Linked DNA regions of Bombyx mori. The protein of the gene in region 1 binds, or shares a complex with, the protein of each later gene. Links are inferred from orthologs where the notes say so. Each region holds a gene or a part of one and is shown in the gene's direction. Other genes may lie near its edges. The genes, in order: serine/threonine-protein kinase Warts and merlin.

Region 1 (9,271 bases):
TGATTTATGTGAGCTGTGAAATAGAAAAATAGTGCACCAACCCTAATAAAGCAGTTTTGTAGTGTATTGACCTCAATCCAGAGATGAAATCTTTTGCTCTCCTAGAATGGCCTAATTTGACACAAAATTTGGTCCCAAATGCTATTCTGCTGTTACACCATGATAATGCAGAATGAAGTGGCAAAGCGAAAAAAAGAGTATTTCCTCTACAGCCCATCTTATCCAATGCAAGAGTTTAGTTACTATAACTGATTGGCCTCTACTTTCTGCCATCTTAGCAAAGCTTCAACACCATTCAGAGGCTCCAGCACTGCTGGTACTGGGGTTTGCTAAAACGTACATGCATCTCTCTCAGAACTCTACTGTACCCTTATTGGCTCATGTCACTGAAATAGTATCCAGCCAGTTAGTCTATATGATAGCAACCAATCTTGAAAACTTTATATCAAAGCTTTGCTTTATAGATATACACTACATTTTTTTTGTAAGTTGGTGCTACAGTTTTTGCCAGACATTGCATACCAAAGTCAAAATTTATCATCCCCATCATTGATGGTAGAAACATTCATTTCTACAATAGAAAAATGTACCACATCATTTTTTTATAGGTTTGGGATTACCTGAGATGCACGACACCAAGGTACAAAAAACATGATGAAATGCTGTCCTTTTGACACAAACTTCTCAATATTCAGGTCATTCAGATAGGACATGCCGCTGTATGTTTTAACTTCATTTGGTTGTTTTGATTGTTTGCCCTGAAATAATAAATTGGATACAGGTTTATATATATTATATTTTATATTCAGTCACATTCTTATGTTGTAGTCTATGAAGATAGGTCAGTCAGAAAAAATTATAATAAAGTGATATTATTAATAAATTTTGACACAGAACTTCCATTTATATCCATTCATCAAAATGGTCTAAATTAAGTATAAATCTCATTGGTATTTAACCTCATATCTGATTATGGCTAATGGCATTAATCTTGTGATGTTTGTAGGCTAGAATTTAATCCCATTGACCTACTTTTGCAATGAATTATGAAGAATGATTTTTTTTAATTCTGAGCAACAGTGACAAAATGGTTCTACTACTCACCTCTGTTTTGACAGAGAAGGCTTCGCTCAGAAACAATGTCAATGATGGTAAGTCCCTTGTTCCTTTGTATTCAACTGGTGTAAATGTATTTTTGTGGAAATAAAATAATGTTGGATAACCTGTAATTTTTTTCAAATTTATTTACACCATCAACTAGTGTACCTATTTTAAAAAAAAATTCTATTATGTACATACTTAAAAACAAGGAAATTATGTGTATGCTTACTTAAGTACCTGTTATTTCATTTTCATGACAAAGCTTAGCATGCACTGTGCAGTCAACTTGGGCAATGGCAAATTTGGAGTCCTTGGTATTAACCAGCTCTGCCAATTCTGACCATATCGGATAAAATTCTGTGCAATGTCTACACCTTAAAACATATAATTTCTGTAAATGGTATAGTACCGTAATGGTAAAAAATATAGATATTATGGTAATTTCAAACAGTATTTTATTGAAACTCTCTTGGAACACATCTTTAGTTGTGGATGGTTAACAACTTTTTTAATTTTATATCGTGAATTACCCTCATTGAATCAGTCGTCAGCCTTTTTGTAAAAATGCTCATCTAACTTTGTAGTTTAGTCAATAAGTATGAAGGATCTTTTTCACCACTACCCACATCAGTTCGTTTTTATTGAGGGCATTCAAATCTTTTGTTTTGAACGGAAGCTTGGCTGTGATCTTCGTATTTTCAATTTCTATTAGAGGTTCACACACAATAGGCCTCATCGATGTCACTACGGTATACCATTTACATTTCGGTCAACTAAAGAAAATTAGATTAAGTTTATTTATAAAATCGTTTCGATTCAATATTTAGTATAATTTTTATCATAAATAAATGAATATGTAGATTGTTTTGAATTTAATCACTGAAAGGAATAATGTAAATTCAATTATTGTTCTCACCATGGCGCGTAAAACATAATAAAGTTTCCATCCATTTCTTCGATCTGGAATTTGAAATTACTGGGATTGTATTCGTAAACAGAACTCTGTTCAGGAGCTACAAGATACGGAAATACAAATAGATATGGTAATATCTTCATTGTGGTGAAGGAATATATTTCTAAACAATGCCTCTGTGAATTGAGGTAACTTTTTTAGGTTGTTTTCATTTATATCTTTTCTCCTTCTCATTAGTTAAGTAGCTAATAGGTTAAATCTAAAACAACAAATAATTTCGTATTTGTTGGATAAATTTTGCTTTGCTGCACAGCACTTCAAACTTTTTCGTTTGGTTTGTCTATTGGCAGCACAGGGAACGTAGCACATATAACATACACAGTAATATTCTATAACAAAGGTGAATCTATGTCTGTTGTGTGGAAAGTCAACTGATATAGATTGATAAAAAATTGAATCAAAAATTAAATTAGATATCTTTTTTATTGTCCTTATAGGCAGACGAGCATACGGTCTACCTGATAGTGAGTGATTACCGTCGCCCATGGACTTCAGCAATGCCAGGGGCAGAGCCAAGCTGCTGCCTACCGTTAAGTATTCTCGCCGTTAAGTACTCTGCACAAGCCTCGTTTGAAGAAGGATATGTGGATTAACTGAACTGAGATAAAACAATACCATACCAATGAAATAATTAGTAAAATGGTTGGAATTAAACAAAATCTTAAGGGAGCCGGCACGGTGCGGGATTGTTCTGGCGCAGCTGGAACACAGGCCGTACTTATTGTCCGTTTAATGTTGTACTCATAGATAATACACATAACTTTTGTACTCTCCTCCAACTAATATATTCATCTGTGCTCTCCTGATATTATGTGTATTATTTATACTTTCCTCTCATGCTCGCTGCACGAGTTAATATTTGCGACGATCTTCTTTGAACTGTTGACTTTGAACCGCAACAAGAAAGCCGCGGCATATATCGCCGTCAAACACCAATAAGGGCGAACCGTTGGCCATATTTGTTCACCACCTAACCGGGGACCTGCAACACTTTCGCGAGATACGACGCCAAGGATACCACCGTTGGTTGCTTTGTGGTGTTTGTATTTTGCCGCACGCCGCCTATTATAATAGGTAGTTCGGAGGTTAAGGATGACAAGATAAGATCAATGGACTTTGGAAGAATTCAAAAAGCAATATCCAACTATTTTGTTTCGTTTAACCACCCTTGTGTACTTTCAGAGATACTAAAATGTTAATAAACCACCGTCATAACATACTAAACCTGATGAAACAGTAAATAAAAAAATAAAAAAGTCACAACTTGACAACAGCAACAACCTAAAAAAATTCCTAGCACTGGCCTCAGGTAGAGATGTACTTGGTTGAATTTAACACAGGATCGGAATCACAGCCCTCCGTGAAGATCCGGCGAGATCTCAGTGGGTGGTGTCTATGAGCTATTTCATACGTCGAGCACAGCAGAGAGTAACGTGCACAGCGAACGACAGAAGAATCTTTGAAAGTGGACCTGAAAGATCGGAAAGAATATGTTAATGGCTACGGCGGCTTTAGGTTGCCCTGTTGCCTGGGTCGGATATGTAATGAGAAGCGGAAAGGTAATGGCACGCCGCTTTATCAAAATAGCGTTCCGACGCTTCCATAAGGTTTTTACTGATAGAAACTAATTAGTTCTTACGTACCACGGTGCTCCGAAGGCTATTTTGCAGAAATGGGATTGGATAACCTGGAGAGAGTTCATGTGTGAACGGGACGCGTGAGCGAACACTACACTTACCTATTTCCTTATTAACTCCAAGCCTATTTCACAATGGAACGTATGCATGTTTTGTAGAGTGTCACCTTGTTATGAAGAAAATGAATTAGGCAATAGCAGATAGAAATTTCTTAATTTAACAGTCTTAGAATTAGACCGTTATACTCTTTTTTTTTTCTTTAGAATTTTTGCAGTTAGGATTTTTGCTGTGAGTCCTGTGACTAGGTACTTACTCCATGCCTGTGACTTTCTTATTATTCGGATACAGTTTCATTTCGACAATTCTGTAGAAGTGTTTTTTTAAAGGTCTGATTATTACTTTTAATAGAGAAATTCCTACATTAGTAAGCAGATGAGTGCTTTAGCTGGGTTCTTTTTTACGAAAAAGAGTCGTCAAACAAAATGGAATTTAATCTTCTGTGTATCCGAACACACTAAAGAATGTGGTAATTCTTCAAAATGGTCGCTTTGTATGGTTTGCCAACTTGCATGTCTGTGTTTTAGAGTCCTTTGTTTTCATATTTCCTTAGAAACTCTCGCTTTAAAGCACAACTCTATCGACTCCAGATTGCCTCTTCCGTATAAAAATTAATGCGACTAATCAAAACTAAGTGTGCAAGAAAGATGTCATCGGCAATGTGAGAGCTGTCGATCGAACTGAATTTCATTTTATGGGATTATGACATTTGTGCATATAATACGGATTTACAGAAAGTGAAAAAGTGCCTGGTAATGAATTACAGTAATTAATTATTCTTCTTAGTGCCTTGAATGAACGAAACATTGCTTTCCGAGCTCCCTCTAATTTTGGAATTCCACAAGTCTATGTCATGATTGATTCGCATTAGACATTCCTTACATCCTCGTACTCTTGGATAGAATGCGATACTGTTAAAAATTGTGTACTCGAATTGTCTGATACTGTAAACAGGTTCTGTATAAAGTCGACAAATCATATCCCTATCCTGTTGCCAAGATGTCAAACTTTTCTCATCTAACTTATTTAACTCATTATTTTATTATCACATAAAATTTAAGGGATCTAAAGCAAGAGGAATTCTCAATTGATTAGGTACTAATATTTAAAAATATTTTTCAGTTAAAAGAAAGTACCTTTCACGCTGCTACACAAAAAGCAATGTTGATACAGACTGACTAGTGAGGAAATCGATATATAAACGAAATAAATTCGATAATAAAGACAGTGACAGTGCTGCGAGTCTTAATTAGAGTGTTGAATAAATGGTGCGGAGGATAATAAACAAGGATATGTACAGGGTGTGGGGTGTGCTCATGTGATGGGAGGCGTGGGGTGAGAGGTGAGGCGCACGGGCGCGGGCGCGGGCGCCATGAACCCGCCGGCGCCCGGCAAAACGGCTACGCGCTCCGGATACCACCAGAAGGCGCTTGCCGAAATCAGAAACTCATTGCTTCCCTTTGCGAACATTGGAAACTCTGAACCGCCAGGTTCATCAGCTGCTAGCACAGTTAGTTCAGGAGTGAGTTCGGGGTTTAGTTCTTCTTCGGGAAATGGACTCGATAAAGACTTGAATGTGCTACCTCAATCCTTGAACCAACTTATTGCCTTGGGTTATGATGAGGTGAGTTTAGTTATAATGAATTGCTAAAAGTGTTTCTAAATAACAGATATGATTAGTGTTTTTTTAGTGTCATTATTCCATTATCTTTAATTTTTATAAAAAAACTGGCTGGCATTGTTTTGCCATAAAAATATTTCTAGGAAAGATACCGACTGCAGTGCCGGGTTGCTTTATAAATCTAAACCATTCTCAAATCCACCTGAAGATACACAGAAAATTTCATTAATATCGGTCCAGCCGTTTAGGAGGAGTTCAGTGACAAACACACGCACAGAAGAAATATACATATAAAAATACATGGAATTTATAATACAATTAAAATATAATAAGAAAGACTATCAACTTTTAATGTAGAAGGCAGTGTATGGCCGATATTATCAGTATTTATTGGTGATTAATGTCCATTTTCATTAATACCAAGGCTAAGGACAATCTTTAACCAGGTTTGAGTAAAACTTAAGTTATTGTTATTTGCAATAACTGAGAAATTTTAATTAAACATAAACACTATAAGTACAAGCTAATTACTTGCATATTGCCTGGTTGCAGTGGAATGAGGAATAGGCAATCATGAAACCAGTGGTAGTTTGTTTTCATTTTCAACAATCATGTTAAACATAATTTAAATTGAATCAAATTTATAGTCATAACAGTTATAAAATGAATGCTTAAGGTTGTGTTCTTGGATATAATGTTGACCAGAATTAAATTGAGAAGTAATTTATTCACAATACAAAAACACAAGATTTTAATTTTTATTTTCATTATTGTATTGTGCATGTTGTAAATGCATATTGTCTTGAGAATAAATATGGTCATATACCAATATTCTGTCTATACCTAACACTTTAACCATGTATTCTGGTTTAAAGGGCAGGCTGTCAAATATTTTAATGCATTTTTGAATTCAGCTTCGTGTTCAGATTTTTTAAAACCCCTATTGTGATCTATAGGCTTAGTTATAAAGCCTAAAATAATAAAATCTAATATTAATGATAAAAAAAGATTTTTTTAAAATTATTCTACACATGCTTTTTTTTCTACCGTCTTGGATTATATGTATCTTCTAGCTATTAGTATCATCGGTGACTGATAGCAGGAAGTTTTCAAGATCTCCAATATCAATTTAATTTTTAGTTTTCACAATTGTTCTCATAAATTTCCCAGGCGAAAAATTACATTACTGTGTACTCAAATAAATCCTTTTTTCAACATATATAATAGTATTAGAATGAGGTAAAATAGGAATTATATTCACATAGTTTGTCTATGTAAAGTTTATAAGTCAGCAAGATAATAATTATATTACAATCTACAACAAAATTACAATAAAAACTCCAAGCAAGATCTACATAAGAAGTTCGGTATACTAGTTTTGCCATGCCATTATTATTATATTACCACACAGAGACTAGGTTTGTTGGTCGTCAACTATCCATTGATCGAATGTTGGTTGTTAATTTATAATGTTACTCTGCCCTTACTCTGCTCGGGCACTGGACCCAGACGAAGATCGGGCGTTGGGGGAGAGAGTGCAAGGAGAGTCTTTTGGTAGGTAGGGCCCTAAACGTTCTTGGACCTGCGGTTCTCTCCCAATGTCTACGGACCATCAACACCCACATACTCTACGCGCCCCCTAAGCCCCCTGCCCGAATTTTTTATTATTAGATGGATGGTTTGTACCTGCCGCTGCAGGGTGGGGCACACCACCCTACCGAATTTTACTGTCAAGCAGTAATATGCTCTAATTAGAAGGGCAGGACAGTTAATATACTATACAATTGAAAAATTAGACCTCTTGTCTCGAGATGGATGACGGCGCATATACGCTGTGATGTCTATTGGCTCTAGTAACCACTCACCGTCAGAAGAGATATTCACGGTGTACTTAGATTATAATCAATTTGGTAAAATTTCATTATCTTGTTTTGCTTCTGTTTTTGAATAATGAGTATATTATTTAGAAAAAATCATTTCAGGACCCAGCTGTGAGGGCACTCAAATATGCAGGAGGGCGTTTTGATGCAGCTCTCGATTATTTGTCGAAACAGCAAGAACCTCTCAACGGCGTCCTCAAAAGCAGTAACTTGAGTGCTCTTGGCACCAAACTTATCCGGAAACCTAGTCTAGAGAGAGAGATAAATCTACATCGTGGTAGTCCTGCACTTGATTCAGGTGCTGGTAGCTCCCGGTCTGATAGTCCGCGTCAATCGGAGCCACCGCCGCTACCACACGAGAAGCTATCGCGACAGTATTCGCCTTCAGGTTTCTCAGAACCACCGCCACCTCCGCCGCCGCGATGTCCGTCCACGCCGCCGGTGCTGCCTTCCGTGCAGCAACTGCTCAAGCGCATGTCGCCGGCGCCACCTCTACCACCGGCGCGGGGCACCAGTCCCGTGGCGGCCGCGGCACCCACGCCGCCTGCCAGACAACCCATGATTGTACAAAATGGACCTCAAGTGCAACAGCAGCTTACGCAGCAGATACAAGCTCTCAGTATCTATCAAACGGGTGGCGGCGGCGAACTTCCACCGCCGTATCCGATGTCGGGTGCGCCGCCACCTCCTCCCTACTCGGTCTCTATCCAAAATCGTCAAAGCCCAACCCAGTCGCAGGATTACAGGAAGAGTCCATCTTCGGGGATCTATTCAGGAGGCACCTCCGCCGGCTCGCCGAGTCCAATTACGGTAACGCAATCGACTGGTTCAGCCGCGGGAATGACTCGCCCCACGCCGCTCCAGGCGTGGACCGCGAGACAAGCGGTGCAGCCTCCTATCATCATGCAGTCTGTGAAAAGCACACAAGTTCAGAAACCGGTACTACAAACGGCGATAGCACCGGTTGCCCCACCGCCAGCCACCAGTGCCGGAGCACCCCCACCCCCTCCTTCGTACGCGAGCTCCATCCAACAGAAGCAGGCACAGACTCCGCCCAGCTACCCGTCGGCACCGAAGCCGTCGTCTCCTGGCTCCACACCTACTGCGATTCCTCCCGCCGTCCCGACCACGGAGCCACCAAGTTATGCGATCACGATGCAAGTGCTCGCCGTTCAACGCGGCATGCACCCCGTCCCGCCGCCTCCGTACGGTAACCAAGCCGACAACACGACTACTGTTAATTCCCACCATTCTCCTTTACATAAGAAAATTTCGAATAACTGTGACGGTAAACCTGAATCGTCACAAGGGCCGCACGAAATTAAGTGTCCCAACCAGAACTGTACGAATAATCTCTTAAAAGACAACGTCACGGCCTCCGGCTCCGACAAAGGCTCTAACGGATCATCGGACAGACGACCAAAAATGTTAGATAAGATAAGGCATCAATCGCCAATACCGGAACGCAGAAATTACAGTAAAGAAAAAGAAGACGAGAGAAGAGATTGTAAAGTCCGAAATTATTCACCGCAAGCTTTCAAATTTTTTATGGAACAGCATGTGGAAAACGTTTTGAAATCTTATAAACAGAGACTGTTCAGAAGGATGCAACTCGAAAAGGAGATGAGTAAAATAGGTCTAAGTGCAGAAGCTCAGTGTCAGATGAGAAAGATGCTGTCCCAGAAGGAATCCAATTATATTCGATTGAAAAGGGCCAAGATGGACAAGTCTATGTTTACTAAGATTAAGCCTATAGGTGTGGGAGCATTTGGGGAGGTGACGTTGGTGAAAAAGATCGATACTAGTCATCTGTATGCCATGAAGACACTTCGGAAAGCTGACGTGCTAAAGAGAAATCAAGTGGCACACGTAAAAGCCGAAAGAGACATATTGGCGGAGGCAGACAACGAATGGGTCGTCAAGCTTTATTACAGTTTCCAAGATAAAGATAATCTGTATTTTGTAATGGACTATATACCGGGCGGGGACCTTATGTCCTTAT
Region 2 (9,419 bases), on another chromosome or scaffold:
TAAGCTGAGAGCCTTGGGAGGCTATGTCAGCGTAACCTTAACTAGTAGGTGAGCTAAGGGGGCTCAAACCTGACGACGTTGCTAACACGAACCCTAGCAAGAGCCGTGCTTCGCAGAATCTTCCACTGGGTCTGAAACGCGACCCACTAGGAAGATCCGGCAATAAACTCGGTGGGCTGTGTCTGAGGGTTAATTTACTCCTCGAGCCTTTGCGTTAATGGCGTTTCCTTATTGATTTCGCCAATGTCAAGTGTATATAATACTCTGCCTTATAAAGCGGGCTTTGTGAACGAACAAGGTCACAGATTGTAACTAAGAATTAAGTGGGTAGCTAAGAATGCTTGATTACAGGGTCGCTGTTGATGTACCTAAAACAAATAAGACGCACACAGTATATACATATATATACAGGGGCTATTGATTTTCTTGAAGAAAGTCTGTTGATGTTCTCTTTAATACAATTTCGAATAATGGAGTATGTATTTTATAGCTTTAACGTGAAGAGGCACAGGGTAAAAAGTAAGACGGTGGTGTCCTAGTGGAATTGTTCATGTCTGTAGTGTGGAGGGCGATTGAGACTTGGTACATACTGCTATGTATTAAGTTATTCCAATTAAATGCTGATGGCAAGATTATAAGGCAATGTTGGTGTTGTGTGATATTTAAATTATCTTGAATGTTATATTGTTGGGTACTAAAACTAAACTTGAACATAATTTTGGGTGGCATTTGACGATACCTACTATTAACTAATGCGGTGATTTTTGAAGCCAAACAAATATACTCTAGAATATGTTCAAATCAAACTTGTTTAAGGCAAACTATTTATTCATATTTGGCTATAAAATTTTGAGACGTTCTACCAAGGGACTTGCTTTATTGGAATATACACAATTAGTCTGGTGCACTTGCACGTTGAAGTCATTATTCAATGTAATGTGTTTGTTTCATAAGAGATTTAAAAATGCTCTAAGAGATTGTTTCACCAAACCATTTCTTTCCACTCTTTTTTTACTGGTGGTAGGACCTCTTGTGAGTTCGCACAGGTAGGTACCACCACCCTACCTATTTCTGATGTGAAGCAGTAATTAGTTTCGGTTTGAAGGGTGGGGCAGCCGTTGTAACTATACAGAGACCTTAGAACTTATATCTCACGGTGGCGCATTTACGGTGGTAGATGTCTATGGGCTCCAGTAACCACTTAACTCCAGGTGGGCTGTGTGCTCGTCCACCCATCTAAGCAATAAAAAAAACCCTTCACACCACCAGTGCTGTCCTGTAACCAGTACCGAAATACAGCTGATTCTTACCACTTAGAGATCTAGACACTGCGTTTGAATTGAATTGAGGGTTGAAATCCATTCCACAGTATTTAGTGCACAATATGGTCTAATTCAAACGAGGTTTGAGAAGATTGGTATACAGCACCAGCTTGTTTGTGACATTAGTATTGCTAACGTAACTCAGCTCTTAGACCATATTAAAAAAAACTTATTTTGTTTTCATAATTATTATAATCATTATATATTTGTCGTTCTTTGTTTATGTAACAGTAACTTAATAAATGCACTTCGAAAACTTGGACGTTTCATTAAAGCATAATATATAATTAGATTTTGTTCAAATACCTTAATTTTTTTATCCTCTGATGGTATCATGAAGCTACTTCCGCGTAGTATAGATACCACAGCATGTTGTGCCGCTTTTCTAACCTGCACAGATTACAAAATTATAAACAATTACTATTTGGAATGTGTGAGTTGTACCAATATAAAAATCAATTCAAAAAGTAATAAAATTAATATCTGGTTCAGAACAGACCTTGGGTTTAGAGTGCAGTGCAAAGGCCAGAACGGATTCAAACACTCTCATAGTTGATGAATCACCCCAGACAGCATACTCCTGAGCTCTCAGCAGCACCGACAGACATCCAATTGTGCTCCTCAGCAATGCTCCATTTTCAGACTGAGCATGCTCCTCGAGTAATTCCATAAATATTGTTGAGGAGTCCGAAAATTGTTTACGCAGTACTGCTTGTGGTACTGCTTTGATGCCCATTGATAGTAAAGTTATTGTGGCTACTAAATTGTCTTCCAGTTCGGATGCCTTTAGAGTTTCCATCTATACAGAAATATATAGTAGTATATTATTAAAAATTTTGGACATGTGATGCGTAGAGAGAAGGTGCATTTGATTAGGATATGTATGGAAATGGTAGTGCAAGGTAGAGGTGGTCGACCGAAGAAAACATGGATGGAGTGTGTGAATGACGATATGAGAGGGAAGTGAATGTTAAGATGACGGCTGATAAAAGAGAAGAATGGAGTAGAATAATTTGCTGTGCCGACCCACTAGTTGGACAAAAAGAAGATATTATTGAAAATTTTGCCATCACTTAAACATTAGTTTCATTTATTTTTATTTATTATTAGTTTCACTGTATCTATATATCCAAGTATAAGATATCAGCTTTCAGTTTAAGAAATTTATGACCGTTATTACTTACAAGAGCAGCAAAGTATTCCGTTGTAGTCTCTTTACCTCCTTGTTCTTTGATAACTTCAGTCACAGCCGCCAGCACTGCTAGCATTTCCTTGTGCAGTGCATTGTTTGAATCAAAACGATTTAGCAATCTACAGTAAATTTTATAAAAAATGAGTGTATCTTAGCTTATAAAGGAATGAAGAGCATTAAACTTAAAGACTCAATCTATTGAAGAAATAAAAAGATGTGATGTGGTATTTCGGTAAATTGATTTTGATTTAAGTCAAAGTAATATAAAAAATAAAGTAAAATTATAGCCAAATATGTATAAATACTTTCTCTTCTGCAAGTATCAATTGAATATATCTGAGAGTATATTTGTTTAGCTCTTACTTATTCACTGGTGCATACTTTATTTTGTTGCAATGAGTTTTGGTCATAAATTATTTCACAAAAATTCTTAGTACTTGATATAATTTATTCCAAATTTATAATAAGCAAGTCTCTCATGAAAAAGTGGTACTTAAAGTATGAAATGAAAAAAGATTAAAAGAGATTTTTTTAAGAAGAACATGTCCTAAGTTTCATCTTAGAATTATAATTCAGTATTCCACTGAATTCCAAATAATTTCTATTCCAAGTAGTTTTCCAAATAATTCCTAGTCATGACTATTTAAAGTCATAACTAAAGTGCATATAAAGGCTTACTTAAGTAATTATCCACATTTTGTATTTTATTTTCAATATCACATTAGCAATTGTGAGTATAGAAACCTGTTTTCAGGTACTGTCTCAAATACTGCAATAAAATTAAAATATCTATTTAAACTTTAACTTACTTATGAAAGCTGATATTTGAACATTGACTCCAATCAGATGCAAATGTTTGAAATGTCTTAAATGTTCCTGATCTTAATGTACCAGAGTATTCAGACTCTGATCCCTCGTCTCCGGTCTTGACCGACATATTTTCAAGCTCTTTTACTATGGTCAGTTCATTTTCAGCATCTGATTTTGTTTTGTTAGTTTTATGTCCATATGTCATCATAGCTTCATGCTTGGACACCGCTTGCTGTGTTAAGCCAGTGCTGCCTGTAGAAGTTAATTAGAGGAGTCACTTATAAGGAAATTATCTTAATTTTAACATAAAAAGTATGAGATTAGTTAATTTAGTCATGTTCTAGGTTATGATTTTATAAGGAAATTTTACTTTGAAATTACTGTTCAACAACTTTTTGTGATGTTTATAAATCCGTTTTTCCATAACGAATGATTTTGAGAAGTTTTAGAGAGAACATACCTAAGTTTTCCTGAAAAAACCGGGATTTTGCCATCTCCCTGTATTTTTGAATTTTCGGGTTCGAATTTGATGACTGTCCTTTCTGCCATCGTTTCCCCTTCGTTTTGCCTTTAAGTTTTGATCTAAATTTACCCATTTTAGTATTTCATAACAATATGCAAATGAAAGATGTAACACACGTGGGGAAAAAGTGTTCAGTGTTTTGATTGAAAATAATGACAGCAAGCCAATGAAGTAGGAAATAGGTCTATGCAGCAAGCAAAATGAAATAGTTGTCAAATTACTGTCAAACGTCAAACACATTCTTTCTAGGCAAAATGGATAATGAACGCAAGTCTTATCCTGCAAAGTAAAACTGTTTCAATTAGATTTAAGAGTAGTTAGAAATACTGTGGATCACATCTAATCGGGGTCGAGAGCTGAAGTTTAGAGTTAGGTAAACTACGGAATAAAAACATTACTTAAAAAATATTAGATTAATTAAATATCTAAAAAATAATAATATTAAAATAAACTATTTCAGTTCAGGAATCAACCGCAACATTTTATTAAACTAATATCACTTCATTGAACCCATTGTCCGATTTTTTCTTTCATTTTTCAAATCCATATTACGTTTCGTTATACGTGACCTAAACTTCATTTCAATGACCAGTCCGATGTATTTTAAAGTAGAATGGAACGTTTACCTTTCAATAGGTTTTTCATTCACCTTCGCATTGCTTGTTTCATTGACGTTTTTCTTGTTTGTAAATAATAACCGCTGGAAATAGTACGCAATGTGAAATTACACGCATTCCTTTATCGAGTGTTCATTACGTAAACGGGAGACGTTGCCGTGTAATTAGTTAAATGCTAGTTGAAAATTCATAACCTCGGTGGTGTTTCGTGATTCTTGTAAACGAGAAATGATATAAGAATAATGCCGCCCTTCCGGAGGAAGAAAGCTGCTAAATCTTTTCCAGTTAAAGTATGCACATTGGATGCTGAATTGGAGTTCAACCTCGAGGTAAACTGTATTTTCTGTTGTGGTAAACCTTTTTGTTTACACTATTTCCATTTAGTAGGTACTAAGTATTCATCCGATCGTATTATGAGTCATGCGGAGGCGCCCTGCACTTGTTAATTGATGATATTAATGAACATTGCAAGTACTTTGTATGTTGAGGGTATAATGATCATATCTTCTATGACTCTTATCTGTTTGACCACATTGCTTAATAAAAATGTCATTATAAATAATAATTATCTTTAAATTTTTACCATGTATGTAAGGTTGCTCGCGTTAAATATTTAAGTTTTGAAATTTCTTCATGATGATGATTTCTTTTAAAATGATTTGATTAAAAAACATAGAAATATAATATTCAGAAATTTAATTAAAAAGTTTGTTTGGATTAATGTTTTCATTTCCTAAATATTAGAAACACTAATGTAATTTTAAAAATTAAAGAGTGTAAAAACAGAAGTCATTTTATATTAATTATAATAAATATCTTTAGAATGTGTAACTTTAGACAGTTTTTAAAAGCAAGCTAAATATGTAAACTTGAATATCACATATATTTGGATGTATATAATTTTTTTAACAAAGAAGTTTCTACTATACTTAACATTGTAAATGCTGTATATTTTGTGTGAAGATTAATGAGTTCCTTTGACATTATAACATGAGTTATCACTCAACTGAATGTCAAAGATTAAATTTTATCAGAAATAGTACAATGAAGTCTCAACATAAAAGAATATGTTCAGCCATTGTGCCAATAGCAGCTCTAGCTAACAGCTCCACTCTAAGAGACCTGTGATTTGATGTCGTCGTGGCCTAAAGGATAAGACGTCCAGTGCATTTGTGTTGAGCGATGCACTGGTGTTCGAATCCCACAGGCGGGTACCAATTTTTCTAATGAAATACATACTTAACAAATGTTCACGATTGACTTCCGTAGTGAAGGAATAACATTGTGTAATAAAAATCATACCTGCAAAATTATAATTTGTGTAATTACTGGTGGTAGGACTTCTTGTGGGGCCGTGCGGGTAGGTACCACCACCCTGCCTATTTCTACCGTGAAGCAGTAATGCGTTTCGATTTGAAGGGAGAGGCAGCCGTTGTAACTATACTGAGAACTTAGAACTTATATCTCAAGGTGGGTGGCGCATTTACGTTGTAGATGTCTATGGGCTCCAGTAACCACTTAACACCAGGTGGGCTGTGAGCTCGTCAAACCATCTAGGCAATAAAAAAAAACTTAATAAACAAACATTACTATACATTATTGTATTCGAAAATACATTCTAAACATCACTAACATTAGTGACAGTGTTGATGAATTTTCTTTCTAAGTTAGTGTTAAGAGTCGTCACTAATATTGAAAGAATAAAATATTTGTATTATATAATGTATATGTATTAAAAGCGTATATATATATATTATATGTATATAAATAATAACAGTAAAAATATTGAGTATAATTACAAAATACATTATAATTAAGGATAAATAAGAGCATTATTGTATTGTTGAATTGTTTATTAATATTAGTAAATTATATTTCCTTAATTGCATGGTAGAGGTAAATTGTAATAATAAATTAAATCATGCCTAAAATTTCACCACATCAAAGCTTTCTGTGGGTGTCAGAAAAGGCAACTCGAAGATTGACCAGAGAACAGCCAGTATAGTTCCCTTAGTTGTATACCAACATAACATGGTTTACAGTAGTATTAGAGCATATTGTAGGCCCTATCTAGTAGGCACCATGATCCTCCCTAATTCTGCTACTTAGCAATGATGTGCTCCTGTTTGAAGGATGGGACCGCTGTTATATAGTTAAGAGTAGTCAAGAAATTTACTGAACAGGATTTATAACCTTGCTATTGCTGAATAGACAAATGGAATGAAAAGGACAATCTACTTCTAACCAGAAGAACTATGTTTTAAACTATAATAAGATGGCTGAATAATTTGTCATTGAATTTTTTTACATAAATTAAAAAAGGGATATGTTACTTGATCAAGGTTTTGTTTCTTACTTTTACAATTTTTATTATTTAATAATATTAAAATGATAACGCACCCTTAACCCTAATAATCAGTAGACTAAATCACGGTTCACCGAAGTTAAATCTTTACCAAAGCCCATTTATTATAAATGTGACTGTCACCGCCCACCTTTAGATTTATGGTTTGGTTAGATTCTGTTTAATTGTGTTTGACATCACATAGAAAACGAACAACAACAAAGCTACAAATATTCATTTTTATATCTGTAGAAGATAATGTATTCCTTACAAAATAACACTATTAGCATGTTATTCTTATCATTCAAATTCCATTGTATGATAACATGGCGATGCGTAGTTTTGCTAATTAAAATGCTTACAATTATTTAGAACGTTGTTTTTTAAATAGCTGCTAATAAGGGAATTTAATTTATTTGACTTAATTTTTAACTTAATTTATTTGATTTATTAATATTGTTACGCGCTGGGGTTCGGGATAAATAAAATTCCACTAAAGTACAACTTAAAAACTGTATTCAACACTTAAAACGCTTAAACACATTACAAACACGTTAAAATTCTCAGTTCGCTTCGCTTCGCTTCAGGTGATCCGTTCGCTGTTTCGCTTCGAGTAGTTCCGATTACTGACTGACTGCGTGCCATCCCTGCAACGCTTTTATAGTTGATACCACATTCCTAGAATTATCTAGAATATTCCACACATCTCTAGTAGTAGTTTCCGCTATCTGACAATAGATGGCGTTGTACTTCTAGGTCCTTTGACGATCGGCGATAGATGGCGTTACTCTTATCGGCGTAACAGTATTGAAATTATAATATGTAGGTACTGTAAAAGAAATGAACTTGTAAATGTCAAATGTTTTGATGTCGTCGTGGCCTAAAGGATAAGACGCCTGGTGTGATCGTATCGAGTGATATGAATGTGCTGGCGTTCGAATCCCGCAGACGGGCACCAATTTAATGTGATTCACTTCAATTCATTTAATCCAGTTTACTAACAATGTAATTGATATTCTTCATCTTACATTATAAATGCAATAGATAAGGCCTATGACTTTATAAGTGCACTAGTCAAAATAGCAATGGCATAAATTGTCCATTACGCTGTAAGATTAAATTCCAATAACAATAGTGTTTAAAAAGGTTAAGGTATATTAACGTAGAAAGTTAGAAGTGAAACCTTCAGAAGAATTCTATCTCATTCTCTGGTAGGCACATTCCTGTATATGCATATGTTTGTCTCTACCTGGTGTCGTTTTTTCGTTCCGGTATTCAAATTGCGATCACTGCTTAGTGCGAGTTTTTTAACGTTCTCGATAGCGTATAAGTTAACTCCAATTTGTATGCAGTTGGAACAGCGCCCCTAACGGTAAACGCTGTAACTCCATACAATTTTGAGTTAACTTTTGCGCTGTCGAGAACGTTAAAGAACTCTCAATAAGCACACAGAGCTAAGGAATCGATTGTGTTCCAGTGGCGAGCTACGGGTCGTGATTTGTTCGACCTGGTGTGCAGGACAATTGGCCTACGTGAAACATGGTTCTTCGGTCTCCAATTCGAAGACACAAAACATTTTATAAGCTGGCTGAAGTTGGACAAGAGAGGTATCAGTAAAGTTTATTTGTTTATTTACGGTTACATTATTAGAACTACTTTTACTCAGGCCGAATTGTACCAATAGAATGTCCTATATTCTTTTGTTTTGTATTATACTTATGTACCTGTGTTTTATTTTCAGTACAAGACCAATGCGTCTCCCAAATGCCAGGTACTCCCTTCATGTTACTCTGCAAGTTGTATCCCGAGGACGTGGCCGAAGAACTGATCCAAGAGGTCACACAGCACCTGCTGTTCCTCCAGGTGAAGCAGGCGATATTAAGCATGGACATCTACTGTCCCCCCGAGGCTTCCGTCCTACTGGCCAGTTACGCTGTACAAGCTAAAGTGAGTCTTAGAATTGTGTGATTAGATCATTCCCGATCCTGCGGATCGAATGGTAATCAGTCGACGTCGCCCTAAACACGTCATTACGGATCCTCCCGATCCACTAACGGTGCTTTTAGGTACCTCAAGCACCGGTAATCCAAACCCGTCGCTTGCAACGAAGGGCTCGCCGAGTAAATTAATCCACAGACACAGCCCACTGAGTTTCTCGCCGGATATTCTCAGTGGGTCGCGTTTCCGATCCGGTGGTAGATTCTGCAATGTACTGTTCTTACTAGGGCGTGTTACCAACGTCGTCAAGTTAGAGCCCTGTGAACTCATCTGCTTGTTCTGCGAATCTAGTATAACCCCTCGATATTACCAGAGTAGGTAGAAAATTTTTTTCAAAAATCGTGATTAGGTCCAATATGGAGATATCGCTCTACGCGTTTAGTCTTTAAGAAGATTGTTCCAGGACGCAGTTGGGATACCTTTACGCAGTTTTTACTATCAAATCTATTGTGTCAATAAGGATCACATAGTGGACAGTCTTCTGCTGTACTCACAGCGTACCTCACGGATTAATATCAGTGAGTGTCTATTAGTAACAAAAACGAGTAGAGGTCTAGTATTTGCGATAAAAACTGGTCTTTGAATGTGGGGATTTAAGATTTTTGACCATTAA

Evidence for each region.
Region 2: the proteins of serine/threonine-protein kinase Warts (region 1) and merlin are in contact, whole or in part, in a crystal structure (PDB 7LWH), measured with the Homo sapiens proteins. The link is inferred for Bombyx mori from reciprocal best matches to the Homo sapiens genes LATS1 and NF2. Residues at the interface, in NP_004681.1 of Homo sapiens: Pro69, Lys70, Phe71, Gly72, His74, Ala77, Leu78, Glu80, Ile81, Arg82, Ser84, Leu85, Phe88, Ala89, Asn90; in NP_000259.1 of Homo sapiens: Pro135, Glu136, Ala137, Val139, Leu140, Tyr144, Asn175, Leu176, Tyr177, Gln178, Met179, Met183, Trp184, Arg187, Trp191, Glu206, Ile210, Asp213, Leu214, Glu215.

Annotation. Positions count from the first base shown.
Region 1 is NC_085112.1:13,708,312-13,717,582, forward strand, and holds the start of serine/threonine-protein kinase Warts, read left to right. Parts: upstream 1-4,229; 5' UTR 4,230-4,520; exon of another isoform or gene 4,521-4,553; intron 4,554-4,863; exon of another isoform or gene 4,864-4,890; 5' UTR 4,891-5,140; coding exon 5,141-5,392; intron 5,393-7,371; coding exon 7,372-9,271. Other genes in the region: thioredoxin domain-containing protein 5 homolog, read right to left, coding at 621-758, 1,105-1,223, 1,339-1,475, 2,018-2,157. UniProt on the Homo sapiens protein: Negative regulator of YAP1 in the Hippo signaling pathway that plays a pivotal role in organ size control and tumor suppression by restricting proliferation and promoting apoptosis.
Region 2 is NC_085122.1:2,605,201-2,614,619, reverse strand, and holds the start of merlin, read left to right. Parts: upstream 1-4,468; 5' UTR 4,469-4,706; coding exon 4,707-4,793; intron 4,794-8,285; coding exon 8,286-8,415; intron 8,416-8,549; coding exon 8,550-8,755; intron 8,756-9,419. Other genes in the region: RRP12-like protein, read right to left, coding at 1,629-1,712, 1,822-2,121, 2,507-2,633, 3,324-3,576, 3,785-3,920. UniProt on the Homo sapiens protein: Probable regulator of the Hippo/SWH (Sav/Wts/Hpo) signaling pathway, a signaling pathway that plays a pivotal role in tumor suppression by restricting proliferation and promoting apoptosis.